Linked DNA regions of Caenorhabditis elegans. The protein of the gene in region 2 interacts with the protein of the main gene of each other region in a pairwise test. Each region holds a gene or a part of one and is shown on either strand. Other genes may lie near its edges.

Region 1 (9,545 bases), on a different chromosome or scaffold from region 2:
CTAGTGTTCGGGATTTTCCAGATCTCCTATTTTCTTATTGAGTTCCCACAAAATACAGGAGCAGTATTTTGGGTTCTCAACCTAGTTGTTAGGTTAACTTTATACTTTTTCTTCTTCTGTTTCTTCGAGATGATCGGTCCAGAATACAGCCAGTATTTTGGGGTCTCTCCCTAGTGTTCGGGATTTTCCAGATCTCCTATTTTCTTATTGAGTTCCCACAAAATACAGGAGCAGTATTTTGGGTTCTCAACCTAGTTGTTAGGTTAACTTTATACTTTTTCTTCTTCTGTTTCTTCGAGATGATCGGTCCAGAATACAGCCAGTATTTTGGGGTCTCTCCCTAGTGTTCGGGATTTTCCAGATCTCCTATTTTCTTATTGAGTTCCCACAAAATACAGGAGCAGTATTTTGGGTTCTCAACCTAGTTGTTAGGTTAACTTTATACTTTTTCTTCTTCTGTTTCTTCGAGATGATCGGTCCAGAATACAGCCAGTATTTTGGGGTCTCTCCCTAGTGTTCGGGATTTTCCAGATCTCCTATTTTCTTCTTGAGTTCCCACAAAATACAGGAGCAGTATTTTTGGTTCTCTATTCTTCGTAGGTTCATTCCTTCCTCCCACACTTTCCTTGAGTTCCCACAAAATACAGGAGCAGTATTTTGGGTTCTCAGCCTAGTTGTTAGGTTAACTTTATACTTTTTCTTCTTCTGTTTCTTCGAGATGATCGGTCCAGAATACAGCCAGTATTTTGGGGTCTCTCCCTAGTGTTCGGGATTTTCCAGATCTCCTATTTTCTTATTGAGTTCCCACAAAATACAGGAGCAGTATTTTGGGTTCTCAACCTAGTTGTTAGGTTAACTTTATACTTTTTCTTCTTCTGTTTCTTCGAGATGATCGGTCCAGAATACAGCCAGTATTTTGGGGTCTCTCCCTAGTGTTCGGGATTTTCCAGATCTCCTATTTTCTTATTGAGTTCCCACAAAATACAGGAGCAGTATTTTGGGTTCCCAGCCTAGTTGTTAGGTTAACTTTATACTTTTTCTTCTTCTGTTTCTTCGAGATGATCGGTCCAGAATGCAGCCAGTATTTTGGGGTCTCTCCCTAGTGTTCGGGATTTTCCAGATCTCCTATTTTCTTATTGAGTTCCCACAAAATACAGGAGCAGTATTTTGGGTTCTCAACCTAGTTGTTAGGTTAACTTTATACTTTTTCTTCTTCTGTTTCTTCGAGATGATCGGTCCAGAATACAGCCAGTATTTTGGGGTCTCTCCCTAGTGTTCGGGATTTTCCAGATCTCCTATTTTCTTATTGAGTTCCCACAAAATACAGGAGCAGTATTTTGGGTTCTCAACCTAGTTGTTAGGTTAACTTTATACTTTTTCTTCTTCTGTTTCTTCGAGATGATCGGTCCAGAATACAGCCAGTATTTTGGGGTCTCTCCCTAGTGTTCGGGATTTTCCAGATCTCCTATTTTCTTCTTGAGTTCCCACAAAATACAGGAGCAGTATTTTTGGTTCTCTATTCTTCGTAGGTTCATTCCCTTCTCCCACACTTTCTCTTGAGTTCCCACAAAATACAGGAGCAGTATTTTGGGTTCTCAACCTAGTTGTTAGGTTAACTTTATACTTTTCCTTCTTCTGTTTCTTCGAGATGATCGGTCCAGAATACAGCCAGTATTTTGGGGTCTCTCCCTAGTTGTTAGGTAAACTTTATACTTTTCCTTCTTCTATTTCTTCGAGATGATCGGTCCAGAATACAGCCAGTATTTTGGGGTCTCTGCCTAGTGTTCGGGCTTTTCCAGATCTCCTATTTTCTTATTGAGTTCCCACAAAATTCAGGAGCAGTATGTTGGGTTCTCAACCTAGTTGTTAGGCTAACTTTATACTTTTTCTTCTTCTGTTTCTTCGAGATGATCGGTCCAGAATACAGCCAGTATTTTGGGGTCTCTCACTAGTGTTCGGGATTTTCCAGATCTCCTATTTTCTTCTTGAGTTCCCACAAAATACAGGAGCAGTATTTTTGGTTCTCTATTCTTCGTAGGTTCATTCCTTCCTCCCACACTTTCTCTTGAGTTCCCACAAAATACAGGAGCAGTATTTTGGGTTCTCAGCCTAGTTGTTAGGTTAACTTTATACTTTTTCTTCTTCTGTTTCTTCGAGATGTTCGGTCCAGAATGCAGCCAGTATTTTGGGGTCTCTCACTAGTGTTCGGGCATTTCCAGATCTCCTATTTTCTTATTGAGTTCCCACAAAATACAGGAGCAGTATTTTTGGTTCTCAACCTAGTTGATAGGTTAACGTTATACTTTTTCTTCTTCTGTTTCTTCGAGATGATCGGTCCAGAATACAGCCAGTATTTTGGGGTCTCTCCCTAGTATTCGGGCTTTTCCAGATCTCCTATTTTCTTCTTGATTTCCCACAAAATACAGGAGCAGTGTTTTTGGTTCTCTATACTTCGTAGGTTCATTCCCTCCTCCCACACTTTCTCTTGAGTTCCCACAAAATACAGGAGCAGTATTTTGGGTTCTCAACCTAATTGTTAGGTTAATTTTACACTTTTCCTTCTTCTGTTTCTACGAGATGATTGGTCCAGAATACAGCCAGTATTTTGGGGTCTCTCCCTAGTGTTCGGGCTTTTCCAGATCTCCTATTTTCTTATTGAGTTTCGACAAAATACAGGAGCAGTATTTTGGGTTCTCAACCTAGTTGTTAGGTTAACTTTATACTTTTCCTTCTTTTGTTTCTCCGAGATGATCGGTCCAGAATACAGCCAGTATTTTGGGGTCTCTCCCTAGTGTTCGGGCTTTTCCAGATCTCCTATTTTCTTATTGAGTTCCCACAAAATACAGGAGCAGTGTTTTGGGTTCTCAACCTAATTGTTAGGTTAATTTTACACTTTTCCTTCTTCTGTTTCTACGAGATGATCGGTCCAGAATACAGCCAGTATTTTGGGGTCTCTCCCTAGTGTTCGGGCTTTTCCAGATCTCCTATTTTCTTATTGAGTTCCCACAAAATACAGGAGCAGTATTTTTGGTTCTCTATTCTTCGTAGGTTCATTCCCTCCTCCCACACTTTCTCTTGAGTTCCCACAAAATACATGTGCTGTATTTTTGGTTCTCAATTCTTCGTAGGTTCATTCCCTCCTCTCACACTACATTGTTTGTTGGTTCATTTCCAACTTTTCAGTCCAATCAATCTAGCGAAAATAGGAAAAGTTGATTCATTTAACCCTGTTATTTTTAAACAAAGAATTGAAACATTCCATTATATTCATAAGTTAATATTTGAGCTTAATAGGGGTGTGAGCATTTTCAAAATATACAGAAAATTGGAAAACAAAAATTAAAAACAGAAATCCCGTAATTGTCGTAAAAAATAGTTTAGTTCTAAACATCCTACAAGGATCATAGCATTTATAACATCTTTCTTGTCAGTGTTCGATGGAATGCATGTTTGAATTGACAGGCAGCTGCACGAAGTGAAAACGATTTTTCTAGAAGACGTAAGCGAGTACCAACATGATCGTCTTCGGCTTCTGAGTCGCATCGATCCTTGGCTGGACAACATAGTTCTAGTTGCCTACAGTATGATGACCAAACTTCGAGATTCTCACATATCACTTCCTGTGCACGCATTTTCTTCGGTGCATAACATTTAGAATTCTGAATTTTTTTTAAATGTTATTATAGCAGTGGCTCTCTCTTTCTATTTCACCTGTTCCTGCGAGTGCGCAACACATTTTATGAAAAATTGTAGTTTGTTGTTCGAAGCTTCATCAATTAACTGAACAGGTAGATGAGCGGTGGAGAATCTCTGAATTAACTCACTTTATAAAGTGGAAGCAGTTGAGAAGAGCATTTATCATATGGCGTCGGGTATGGTTGAGCACATTTAATTCGCATTTCAACTTCTTTCCGAAGACATTTATCATATCTTTGGCATCCAGTTTGTAGTGTCCGCTTGTATTGCTCCATCTTTTTGGCATTTTTCTTGTTCATTGGCAAAATGACAATTGGTTTCGTTCTAGAATATTGACAAGTTTCTATTGCAATCATAAGAATGGGAAAATTAGCGAATACATGATCACGTATCGATATCTAGGTTGTGATAGGTATAGTTATAGGCACAATTTCGGCACGATACTAAACTCCTAATGTCATTTTGTTCCCAAAGAAGATAAATTAATTTTGATTCGGACTAGTGTCATTGGGGTAATTGTTCAAAAATGATCCTAGGAAGCAATGGTCACATTTTCTAATACAATTTTTATACTTTTGTCGCTTTTTAGTTGTTTGGATAAAAACATTGTAGGAATCTGCAGCAGTTCTCGAAATTACGACAAAATTCCACTTTTTTTTAAATTTTGGCATTTGCCATAGCTTTGACAAAATGTGGAAAATGGCTAGATAAATTCTAGGTAGGTCTCTAGGATGTTCTGGACAAAAATAAAACGAAGTGTAAAACAAGCGAGTTGACAATATCTACAGTTTTCATTACAAAAACATGAAGACACATTGTCACGCATATTTTGATATCAACCCACTTTTCTCTCATTTTCGCTCCCATTAATTTCAGCCGATGTCTTTTTCTTATTGGCAATGGCCACAGTTGATCTTCCAGTGGAGTTGTGCTTATTGATGGTGATGGAGTTACCTGAGAACAGTCATTTTCATACTTTTCAGTAGACATTTTCCACTAACATCAACAGATCCAAACGTATAAGCCGCCGTTGGTAGTGGTATTAAATCCTCATTTTGTTGCTCACTGAGCCTTCCAGGACTCAATGGAGCAGCTGTAGTTCGTAATTGTGGAGTTGTGGTGTGATCTGAAGTAGATGGACGACGTTGTCCATCCATCGGCCACATTGAAGATGAACTGTTTACTTGTTCATATCTGGCAATTGGAATTGGGAACATTGGAGTGGTGGATGTACCGGGCTGAAAGGAAAAATAATAATGTATAGTAAATGTAAATTAACAAACATCAATGTCCATCGCACTAATATCAATATAATCAGCATTCGAAAAATCAAATTCATCATCGTCTGACTTTTGTTTTTCCATATGCTTATCTAATAATTCATGTGTAACATAATCAATCAATGGATCAACTGAGAATGAAGGTGTTGGTGGTTCGCTTGTAACTTCTGTTGTTGTGATAGGTTTTGTTGTAGTTGTCATTTCAACTGTTGTAGTTGGTTCTTCAAGTGTAGTTGTTCTACGAATTGGCGAAAATGTAAGACGAGAAGATGGTGGGCGAACTGATGATGTTGAAAGATAAGTTGTTGGATAAGTAATGGTTGGAGGTGGAAGAGTACTTGATGGAGGTGGGGTTTCCGTTGTTTGTTCGGTTGTGGGTTCCATCGTCCATGCACCATTGTTATTTATGAATGCTTCTCTCATATCCGGTGTATTTTCTTGAACAATTGGAATAAAATTGAAATCTGGAGGTCTTATCGTTGTTGCATCGATTATAGAATTTGACAATTCATTTTTATTTCTCTGATCGCCAATGATATCATCGTAAATTTGATCAACGCTCTGATTGGGTTCAACTTGTTCTTGTCTTGAAAAATATAGTGGTTTGATAACGGGCTGTGCAAATCCCAAAAAGCTTCCCTTATTTTGTTTCACCATTAACATTTTTGGAAGTATTGATCTTCCAAATTCTCCTTTTTGTTTCAAATTTCCGTTAAGTTTGTCTAGTTTTTCGGCTGCCTGAAATCATGCAAATATACCTATTTGATCTTAGGGTGTTTTAAATGATCAACTTACGTGACGGGGATCAAATCTGGATTCTGTAATTTTTGAAGCTTGTGCAAATGGTGGTTCATCTTCAAAATCATGTTTCTTCTTTCGGAGTCTTCGTTTTTTATTTCTTCTAAACTTCCGATTCATTCTAGCGTCAAAATCAATAGACTGGAATGTGAATGGAGAGAAAGCTGGCGGTTGTGACGATGTCTGAATGGCTGTTCCACCGTGATGAAGAACAATAAATGGACTTAGAGAAGTTGTTGGTGGTTCTATTGGGGAGTGAAGAATTTCAGCTCTTCCAGTACGAACTGTCTTCAAAAATTTTCGCTTGGAGATTCCGTATCGATTTTCTGAAATATTGTTCAGAACGGTCTGTCATAAATATATAGCAAAATCCAAAAATTAACTCACTACTGAATTTCCTGAGTGCCCTGGGTCTGACTGCCAGAGGTGCAGCAAATTCTCTGGGTTTCTTTCCATGTTTTGTCCTCTTTGTTATTCGTTTCTAAAACAAAGTTAGATATGATAGAATATTCATGAATGTTCTCACGTGCGGATCTGGATAAACTTTAAACGGAACTACTGATCTTAGCATAACTTTCGTTGCCTCACTAACTTTCCGAGCAATCATCGCGTCTTCTCTGAAAAATGAAAATATAATTTCTTCATCTCATAGATTTAAAGTTGTTTTTTTCTTAGCTTGGACTGTATTAAAAATTCCAACCTTGAAATAGGAGCCCTCAACACTGCAGCCATATCAACTGCACATTCTTCCAGTCTCAACTTTATTTGACTTTTCTCAAGTTCATATTGCTCATTTATCACATCTCCTTCCATCTCTGCCCCGCATCTTTGAGCTGCTGGACAACATCGGCTCAAGGTGAAACATTTCTGTGTCAGTCTCATAAGATCACTCCAACAAGTTGCAGAAGAAAAGAATAGTGGTCGAGAATCCATTTCAATTTCATTATGACATGATGGATCCTAAAATATTTTAAAAAAATACTGGATTAGCAATCGAGCACTGTCTCACAGTCATGAGCAGAAAGTCTATCTCACTGATTGCAGAATATTTGGAGGCGCAATCACTGAACAATGACTCTATGTTGTAAGATGTTGCCTTGTGGTTTCTGGAAAATAATCCTTATAAGCTTCGACAACCTGACGTATAATTTTAATGCAACAAGGTTTCAAAAAAAATCTGAAAAATCTAAAAAATTGAAATTTTTGTTTACAGTCAGACATAATTTTCCACTATTAAAATTTCAAGATTCATGAGAGCTAACAACAATCTAGACTAAAATGTGTTTTCAGATTGTTGTAAGTTTGAACATATATCTGTTCAAAACTTCTTACCCATATAAATCGTTGATCTTGCATGCATGTTGAGTAAATCTTCTTGATGGTTCTGCACATTTCCAGTGTACTTCAAGAAGATCATTCCGACATTTAACATATCTGTCACATCCATTTGCACTCACCTGAAACTTCGAATTTGTTACCTTAACTATGGTCACCTAGCGTGATTTTGCCTTCTCAATTTCACCCTTTCCCCCGTGTAACTTTCTCTTCACCGGTCATAATTGCCACAATTATTCTTGTCTCCGAACGGTCTCCGTTTTGCTTCTGTACACATTCCCAAGCCGTCAATCACCGACGTCCCTCCACTACTTTTCATTATATTTTATTCAACAAACAAGGAAGAGAAGTTGGCTAACGGAGAATGGACACATGTTGCAAAAAAAGCCAGAAAAGGAAGAAGAATACGCAAATTAAGTGATCGTCAGAATAAGAAAAGTGTCTGGGTGGGTGGTCAACTGTACTCTTGTTTTAAGTTGCCCACTTCAAATATATCTTCTCACCTGATTAATCGAGATCACTAAGACCAGAAATACATGAAAATAATGTGGCATGAGATGCCGACTTCGATCGACCATCTCGAAGAGATCGATGTTGGCAGGACCTGCAATTAAGAGAAATAACCGAAATAATTGAAAAGTATAATAACATAAACTTGGAATATGAAACAGTAGTAAATAAAATTAAATTTAGAAGACTTGAATTAACTAGTGTGAGAAACATTTTCTTTGATTCAAATTCAACTACCAATTACTGGAGCAAAAAGCCTCTGTTACTGTAAAACAATTCAAAGATCAAATTCTTGGCAAATTGGTAAGGGCATTGTAACTATTTGTGGATATCAAGAAAAAGAAAGAATGCATGAAAAAACCGGGAAGTTTGCCGAGTTATCGATACATTTGAACAAGTGAATATGTATGTCGGAATCCACGAAGACTAAGATGAAGATGTTCCTAACAGAGTAAATTCACCAGAACGGCTTTGATAGTTCTTGGTTGTTTTTGAAAAAATCCAAAAATATTCGACTCTAGCTATTAATCAAGCCGCACAGAGCAAAATGTGAAATTGAAGTTGAACTTCCTGTAGAGGAAATCTAAATTGGTTGCTCAATGAGAATGACAAAAGCGTCTGACTAATATGGATTCAAAACTCATGGGAGAAGGAAAAATATGCTTGAAAAATTAAACATATTCCAGCCAATCTGTGGCATTCGATTTGCAAACGAATAGGCAAGAAAACTGGGGATTTGATAAAAAGTCCAATCCCAGCAGAGGAATTAGCAACTTTGGGATAGTCAAAAAGAAAGAAGTGACAATCTTTTGTGGAAAAGGAGCGGTATGTTTATTACAGGAAAATCGTCATCGAGAAACTTAGATTGCATTTTGATTGGCAATGAAATGGACAAGGTGGCCGACATTGAAAAGACACAAAACGACGAGAAACAAGCAGTTCTGGAATTTTTTTTTGGAATAGGGAGAATGACTCAGGAAAGGAATACCTGAATACATTCATCTCCTCCTTCTCTATAAACTTTCCCCAAATAGGGTGGCAATTGGTTTCAAAATGGCAATAACTTTCGGATATGCCCCCTTCCACCCATTTGATTCTCTTTCCTTATGCAGCTAGTTTCAACGTACGTAACGAAATGACGAGGACACATAAATCTAATTGACTGACTGAAAGTGCAGGGTCGTGTTGGATCATAAAAAGGATCAGGTAAAAGGTTTTGGATACGTGCAGCTTTTTTTCTATACATATGAGTGTTGTTCCGCATAGTATCCCTGCCCTGATGCAGAAAAAAGAACGACATCATCACTCACAAATTAGACAAAATTTGGAAGAAAAGGGGAGACAAAAAGCCATCAGTGTGTACGTCGTGCTTTGGAGATTAAGATTAGTCAAAATTTTTAGGCCCACATAAAACATTAGTAATTGGGTAAATCTGTGGTAAGAAATTTCAAAAAATTTTAAGATAAGTTCAAAGATAACTAAAGTCTAAATTCTTTCCAAGAAAAGTTTCACATTAAATTTAACCAAATAGTTTCATAAATGTTTGGTCACTAGCAAAATAGAAATTATAAAAATGAAGTAATAATTGGAATGAAAGAAGAAATGCATCTAAAACATTCGCTAAAAAGTTCAAAGTGAAATCCTAATAGATAAAGTGATAAACTGTTAGTTATCAATAGATGAGACTTTTCTTATATACCACATTTCAATTCAAGATCCTATTATTAAATGGATTAAATGAAAGATGAGGCGAGACGCATGTGTATATTCTCGAAACATGCAGTAATAACGCAGTATATACAGAAGTGTGTATCGCCACGTCGTTTAGAAGTAAACTGAGAAGTATGTAAAGAAATCTAAATGAAAAAAGGAAAAACAATGAGATATACGGTGTATCTCATTCTAGATGACTTTCTCCCAACTTTC
Region 2 (7,631 bases):
ATTCTGTGATTCTAATTAGAAACAATTTAGTTAAAGAATAATTTATTTATTTCTTTTTTCCCTTTTGAATTTTCCTGAATTAAACTCGTTTTTTCCCTTGGCTCATCGGTGTAAATATTCACATTTAAAAATGACTGAAAAACATATGCCTGTTTATTTTCTATCTCATTGTTCTCGTTTTTTGACGAATTTCGAACTATTTTCCATAAGTTTAGATCAATTACAAATTGTAATAAATCAGTTTCAGAACAAGAATGCCACCAAAAACTAGAAAAACAAAAAAAGAAGACGTCGAGGAAGAGGCTGTTGAAGAGATTTTAGAAGAAACTAAACCTGCAAAATTACCAGAATCCGATGAGAGTTATTCGAGAAAAGTTGTCATTTCCAAAGGTGATTTCCTTTATTTAATTTCAAAAATGAATGTTTTTGTTTTCAGAGGGCAATTTGCCAAATAGCCGAATCATCAAACTGCGGCACCCGAAGGAAGGACTAGCGCTGTTCAGAATCTCCGAAACGTGCTTTGATGAGGTAAAAATATTGGTCAAGCTTTCACAAAAAACCTGAATAAACTTTTAAATGAGAATAAACTTACAAAATTTATGCAGATTTTCGCTGTCAACGACGGTCATCGATCATTCTTCTACGGTGAGAGTGTAATCGAAAACGGAACAATTCACATATTCACTCCATACAATCTCGTCTTCATTTGTCTCCCATATCTACAAAAGACCGCAGGAAAATTTGTGGAAATTGGCGAAATATTGGTAGATGATCAAGTTGACGGGATCAAAGAATTGGCTGAAAATGAAAGAATTCTGAAAGCATTGGAAGCTGTTTCAGATGTCAAAGGTTTGGAAATATCAGTTCGTGGAGATGGAAAAATAAAAGATTTCCAGATGTTCTCGATGTCAAACTATATCGTTTGAACGATCAAAAAATGTTGGATTGGATGAGAAGGAAGTTTGATTCTCTCAAAAAACTTCTAGAAAGTGATGCCCACAAGTCTTTGTTGTCATGTCGTAAGTTTCTCGTTTTGCTTCTTAATTTTACCAAAATGAAATAAATTTCAGCGGAAGCATTCGATCGTTATGTTTTCACATTCCTGTCTGAATATCTTTCTTCTGATCTTGCATTGATTGTTAAAGATCATTTGAATATTCAAGATGCTACTGTCTCCGAGAACATCGATATGAGTATGAAACGAAAAGCTGTGGATGACGATGAGCTTGAAGATAAGAAGCAACCTGTCGCAAAGAAACCAAAAGAATCAGTACAATCAAAGAAACTTCAAGCCGCCTCGAAGGGAACCAAATCAATCAGCTCATTTTTTGGAAAAAAATCTGCTTGAATCTCTATTTTCTTTATTCAACAATTTCGCATATAATTTCATAACATTGACCTCAATTTATCTATGATTCCGATGCTATTACTTTGCTCAATCTCAATTTTGCATTTCACACATTTTTTAATTCGTGTACTAAATAACTGAAACTTTGAAACGTTTTCGATTGAGAATACTCCTTCCGAAATGGGTCCTTTGCCTATTTATATCTATATTTAACAGTTTCATCCGATTTTAACGGATCAACAATAAAAAAAATATTTTAAGATGGCGGCACGTCTGGCTGCATCACGAATTGTGCACGCCGGCCGCGGAATCTCTCAACCTACACCATTCGGAAAACGAATGGATCGATTGTCAAATCGAGTATGGGGAGAGGTTGTCATGCCAACTGACACTAAAAGTTTAAAGGTTTTTAGATGATTTTTATAAAGAAAAGTTTCTGAAAATTTTCATTTACAGGTTGTCCGAGTAATGTCTGCAGAACCATATGAAACCAAAGAACAATTATCACCGAAATACTATCCAAATCTTCCGATGTTTCATTATTTGACCAAAATGCTACGATTCCATGGACTATTTTTTGATGATCACGTAGTTTTCAGAGATGTTCAAGATAATTTGAAAATTATTCGCGGAAAAGTTGTTCGGCCACCAATCGGTCAAGGAAAGCGTGCACAATTGAGAGGAAAGAAGTAGTGTGGATGTTCTCGAAGTTTAAATCTAGATTAGAAGTTTTGTTGATTTTTTTTTTACGTTTGTTTTAATTGAAAATAAATTCTTTTTGAGGTTTTGCTACATTTTTCCAATAAAATTAAAGTTTTTAACACAGAAAATATCGATTATTGATTTTCTTTTTAATTGCTCCACAAATAATTGGCAGACGTTGCTTTTTTCAGCAGTTTTCAGACTTAGAATTATGAAAAGAGCAATGGATGGAGCAAAAAACGAAGCGAAAAAATCTAAAGGTTTCGATTTTGCAATTTATCTGAAAAAGTTCATCTCCGGTTTACAGATACTGATTTATTTGGACGACCACTGAAAAAGACTGGATCCTGGGAATCAAAGGTTTCAAAAATAAACTTCATTAAAAAAAACTAAAGTCTGATTTTTCCAGGACAACGGCGATTTGATGATTTTCACCCATTCAGAATGTGAAGGAAAAGAGAAAATTGCCGCATTCGATATGGGTAAGAATTGGTCACATTATTTTATTGGCGAGATTTAACTTTCCATGAGTATTCCAAATTTTGATTATGAATATCAGATATGAATTGTTTCAATGGAAAATAACATGCTATAGTTTTAGAAAAATATGAACGATAACAAAAAATTAATAAGATTTCGGAGAACGGTTCACAGATGTTTCGGTTTCTTCTACACTGTCTTCCTTCCCATTAGAATCCTTAATAAGCATCTCCAATTGTTGAAAAATGTTTATTTCTGGCAATTTCGATGATTCATTTGGTTTCTGTTTTACTTCACTCTCTGTGGTTGTACTATTGTTTCCCTCGACTTTTAAACTAGTTTCTCCATTTTCTGCATTAAAATCTTCTAGGAATCCTGAAACATTTCCTTCTGATATATTCTTCCATTCATCACTGTTAATTAGTTCAAAAAGTGATTCTTCAAGCGTTTTGTCTGTTGTGCCATCACTAGTTGATGGCGTTTTTGGGCTTGAACTTCTTGCTTTTATCAATCCGTGTCGAATCATAAATCTTTGAAGCCAACCATTACTTGCCTAGAAAATATTTTATTCGAAATTCGAGTTTAAATGTTTCAAACCTTAAAGTCTGCATTTCCATTAATTTTCTTCGCATATTCCTTGATATCTTTTCCCGAAATTTTCCCGTTTTTCGAAGCAATCCAATCTTCAACTTTCTCATCTAATTCCACATTCTTTAGCGGTCTTCCTGCTCCACCGAGCCTCTTTGCTCCTTGTTTTCCTTCTGATTCGAATGCTAATTCGTGCTGAAATTCCAGAAATTTGTTGATAGAACTACTGTAGTTCAGAAATACCTTCAAATGTCTCCATCGTTGAATACAAGCTCTTGCAACTCCATATTTCTTCTGAGCTTGACAATTATTTGTTTGTTCAGCAAATCGAATAACTTCATTTTTGAATTCGAGTGTAAAATTGGCACGCTTCTTTTTTGGTGGTGGCTCGGATGAAGTTTCAAGTATTTTAGGAGAGATTTCAGTCATTTCTGAAGTTTAAAGCTGAGAATTCTACATTTCGGTTAGAATAGTATTACTCAGATTCGAAATTTTGCGATTTCCTACGCAAAAATGCGATACTAGGTCTTGGCACGACCGAATATCCTTTAAAAAGTACAGTAATCTCCCTGCCTCATTGGTTTGATTTTCCGATTTTCACATTTTTCCCAAAAAAAAATTGTTTTTTGTGAGACAAATCAAAAAATACTAAAATTTTATGCAAAATTCAGGAAAAAAGTCGAAGATGAATAAGTCAGAACAGTGACTCGTAGAGGTTACTGTACTTTTTAAAGGTGCACTTTTTTTCATATAAACTTATTCCGCAGTGTCAAGACCGAGTATCGTATTTTTGCGTTGAAAATCACAAAATTTCGCATCTGTGTAATATTTACATTTGCATCTTTAGAAAAGATAAAATAAATAAATAGAAAAAAATCAATGAATTCTAACGTCAAGAAGAAGGGAGTGCCGTTTTAATAGAGGGTGTCCACACTTCAAGAGACAACAGACAAACATTCAGAGTGTGTATGAAGATGAAGAGACACAGACAAACATACTATGCCTGTCTAATGGAGGGAGGCTGTGACCTACAATTAGAGAACACAGACGACTAGAAATACTGAGTGGTGTATGGATATATTTTTTGATTTTCTTGTTGTTGATGAGTGGGAAAACTCACGTCTTCTATCAAAAGAAAACACATATTTTTGGCGCAGAATTGATAATTTTCACGAAATATGAAATTAGTATCAAGAAACTTGGCCTTACTGAGACTATTCAAGCAGTGAGCCTCTGGCTCGGTACATTTATCCCTTGAACCTAAAATTGTGATGTAATTTCCATTTGATTTTCTTCAAATTAAGTAGTTTGCACAAATTAATAAAAATGTAATACTAATCAATTTTTTTTTTGGTAAATTGCCAAATTTTTGTGGAAATCCCTAAAATTACTGTAGATTCGAACCCCTACAACTATTTTTTGTCGATCTCCACAACAATAATAGATGAAAACCTGAAAAAGGTTAAATTTATGAGTTGTTCTAAACTTTCTAGTGTATGAAAAAAATATTTTTGTTTAAAAAAATCGTATTTTCAGACGGAACTCTGATCAAAACAAAGTCTGGAAAAGTGTTTCCAACAAATTGTCAAGATTGGCAACTTCTATATGACTCAATTCCATCAGATTTCAAAAAATTGCATTCCGACGGATTCAAAATTGTCATTTTCACAAATCAAAAAGGCATCCACGCTGGAAAAGTTGATCGAAATGAATTTAGGAAGAAAATTGAAGCAATTGTTGGAAAACTTGGAATACCTGTTCAAGCATTTGTTTCAGTTGCTGGGGGACACTATAGAAAACCATGTGTTGGTATGTGGAATGAGCTGAAATTGAGAAATGATGAAGTGGAAATTAATGAAAAAGAAAGCATTTTTGTTGGAGATGCTGCTGGAAGAATCAAGACTACAGTACGTGTGAATAGATTCAACTTTCATTTAATTCTAATTTTATAGAGTCGTCCTAAAAAAGATCACTCATACGCAGATCGTTTCTTTGCTGCAAATGTCGGTGTTAAATTTCAAACTCCAGAAGAATTTTTCGGAAAATCGAAAGTTGATGAGCCCTGGGGACCACCAAACTTTGATCCAAAAAATCTATTTTCAGAGGAAATTACTGAACTTGAACCTCATGGTGAAATAAAATTATGAGAAAACATAAATATAATTATATTTTCAGATGCTCAACTTAAATCATCCGAAAAAGAAATTATTCTAATGGTTGGATTTCCCGGTTCAGGAAAGTCGACTTTTGCTAAAATGCTCGGTCATCAACATGATTATAAAGTAAGTTTTGGAGCATTTTTCAACTCAAAAATTTTTGATTCATATTGTGAATCGTGACACGATCGGAACATGGCAAAAGTGTGTAGCAGCCACTCGTTCATATCTTGCTGATGGAAAATCTGTAGTTATTGATAACACATCACCGGATCTAGAATCACGAAAGCGATATATTGACGTGGCAAAAGAGCTCGGAGTGCCCATTCGATGTTTCGAGATGAATTGTAGTATGGAACACGCACAGCACAATATTCGATTCCGAGTGTTAACAGATGATAATGCAGCTGAAATCTCGTCAATGGTATTAAGAATTCATAAAGGAAAATATGTTGAACCAACACTGTCCGAGGGATTTTCACAGATTGTGAAAGTTAATTTCCGCCCGAAATTCGAAGTGGAAGAACACGAAAAACTTTACAAGATGTATTTGATCGAGTGATTCCAATTTGAAATTAATTAAATGTTAAATATATACTTACACATTCCAAAAATCTGAGTTTTAATTTTGTTGTTCAACTTGTGCAATAAATCTCATTCACTTTCCACTTTTTTCAGGCACACGTTCATTTATTAATATCAATATGACATCAAGCTGAGTAAAGTTCAAATTCTAATCATCAAAATTATCAATTATCAGTGAAATATTCTATCAATAATAAGAACTAGGCACACAGCAATGAAAGTGTATGGGATATTCGAAGATTTTTGAGTTGGAAGCCTTAATTCTGGTAATTTATCAACTTTGAAGACACCACAATCATGCGGGAAATTGTCAGGTGGCATGTAGATTTGATTTTGATCACCAACCTAAAATAGAACAGTTAGAAATTGCACTGATACTGATATTAAGTGTATTTTACCTTATATGCATATCCAGTTCCACCCATTAAATGAAGTTCCAAGTGACAATGAGCAAACCACCATCCTGGATTTACAGCACGGAATCTGAAATTATTAATTTGTTTCTTGAATGAGTATTAAAAATATAAGAGAGTGTTAATTCTTATCCTTAAACTTTAATAGTAAAAATTTTGAGATCGTTTCGCAAAAAATACGGTGGATGGTTTCATCACGAAAGAAAAATGTTCAACTCGAGATTGCACAAAACTAGGTGCGCCTTTAAGAACTACAGTATACACTTTTCCTCGATTTTACATTGTTTTTCACACTCAAAAATATGTCGAGACAAACAGATAGTTTGCCGGGTGAGTGAGAGAAAAAAGTGGAAATGGGTATAAAAATGTTTCAAAAAATTGGTTACTGTAGTTCTCAAAAGATTGTGTTCCTAACAATGGGTTCTCACGTGCTCCATGAATTAAAAAATGTTTTAAAAAAACAACGATTCGAAAACTGTTGTGGACGGAACGTAAACCTGAACTTTATACAGACGTGGCCTTTGGGTCATCATGAACTTATCGCGTAAGCGACCTCTCTTTATAATTCATTACTTCTTACACTTCTTGTAATAAACTACTTCTCTCCTTGTCTTTCGCTCAATACACAACAGTGGCGATCAGGATGAGATGGGGAGGGGGACAAGTTGTGCGAGGATCAGCCCCAAACACTGATCATGCCTCCACTCGCCGCAGAGGTCGATATACCGCCTCTGGTCGTGATGCCCCTAGCCCAGGCATTTCTGGCTTTTTGTCATATAAGAGGGGAGATGTTGTGGACGGAACGTAAACCTGAACTTTATACAGACGTGACCTTTGGGTCATCATGAACTTATCGCGTAAGCGACCTCTCTTTATAATTCATTACTTCTTACACTTCTTGTAATAAACTACTTCTCTCCTTGTCTTTCGCTCAATACACAACAAAAACCTACCGAATAGTGATATATCCTCCAACTGGCAATGTAATAGTATCTCTTTTCGTTGGATTCTTAGTATTCATTGCTTCTAATGCTCCACCTAACCAATCTTTATTTCTCCATTTCTTTCCATTACAACTAACATCTCGTCCAGGACAATCAATATCTTGATTCATTTGATCAATAAATCCAGATCCATTATACGATGGCCATCCAACTTTCATCACATAAAAATGATGTCCATGAAGATGGAATGGATGAGCATAACCAGTTCCCATTGCACCACCAAGTCCCATATTATAAAGGGTTATTTGCACAATATTATTTAATTTATGCTCCAAATGATAGAAACAACGACATGTTGTATCGAGATCTGACATTGAGTTGTTGGCACAAGCAGTTTGACTGCACGACTGTAAAT

What was found.
Region 1: the proteins of F21D5.4 (region 2) and R05G9R.1 interact in a two-hybrid assay, tested with the Caenorhabditis elegans proteins (one large-scale study listed by BioGRID).

Annotation. Positions count from the first base shown.
Region 1 is NC_003280.10:6,506,297-6,515,841, forward strand, and holds R05G9R.1 (uncharacterized protein), read right to left. Parts: upstream 7,716-9,545; 5' UTR 7,688-7,715; coding exon 7,613-7,687; intron 7,232-7,612; coding exon 7,107-7,231; intron 6,881-7,106; coding exon 6,784-6,880; intron 6,735-6,783; coding exon 6,475-6,734; intron 6,392-6,474; coding exon 6,301-6,391; intron 6,256-6,300; coding exon 6,162-6,255; intron 6,101-6,161; coding exon 5,772-6,100; intron 5,715-5,771; coding exon 4,980-5,714; intron 4,935-4,979; coding exon 4,698-4,934; intron 4,651-4,697; coding exon 4,541-4,650; intron 4,021-4,540; coding exon 3,825-4,020; intron 3,781-3,824; coding exon 3,712-3,780; intron 3,660-3,711; coding exon 3,411-3,659; 3' UTR 3,204-3,410; downstream 1-3,203.
Region 2 is NC_003282.8:8,734,005-8,741,635, reverse strand, and holds F21D5.4 (HTH CENPB-type domain-containing protein), read right to left. Parts: upstream 3,550-7,631; 5' UTR 3,548-3,549; coding exon 3,362-3,547; intron 3,314-3,361; coding exon 3,128-3,313; intron 3,084-3,127; coding exon 2,676-3,083; 3' UTR 2,535-2,675; downstream 1-2,534. Other genes in the region: F21D5.6 (Ribonuclease H2 subunit B wHTH domain-containing protein), read left to right, coding at 255-390, 437-528, 606-849, 897-1,019, 1,071-1,348; mrps-33 (Small ribosomal subunit protein mS33), read left to right, coding at 1,610-1,753, 1,805-2,041; F21D5.5 (uncharacterized protein), read left to right, coding at 2,262-2,310, 2,358-2,410, 2,460-2,532, 4,655-5,025, 5,071-5,248, 5,294-5,400, 5,444-5,836; F21D5.3 (Multicopper oxidase), read right to left, coding at 6,031-6,204, 6,258-6,342, 7,226-7,623.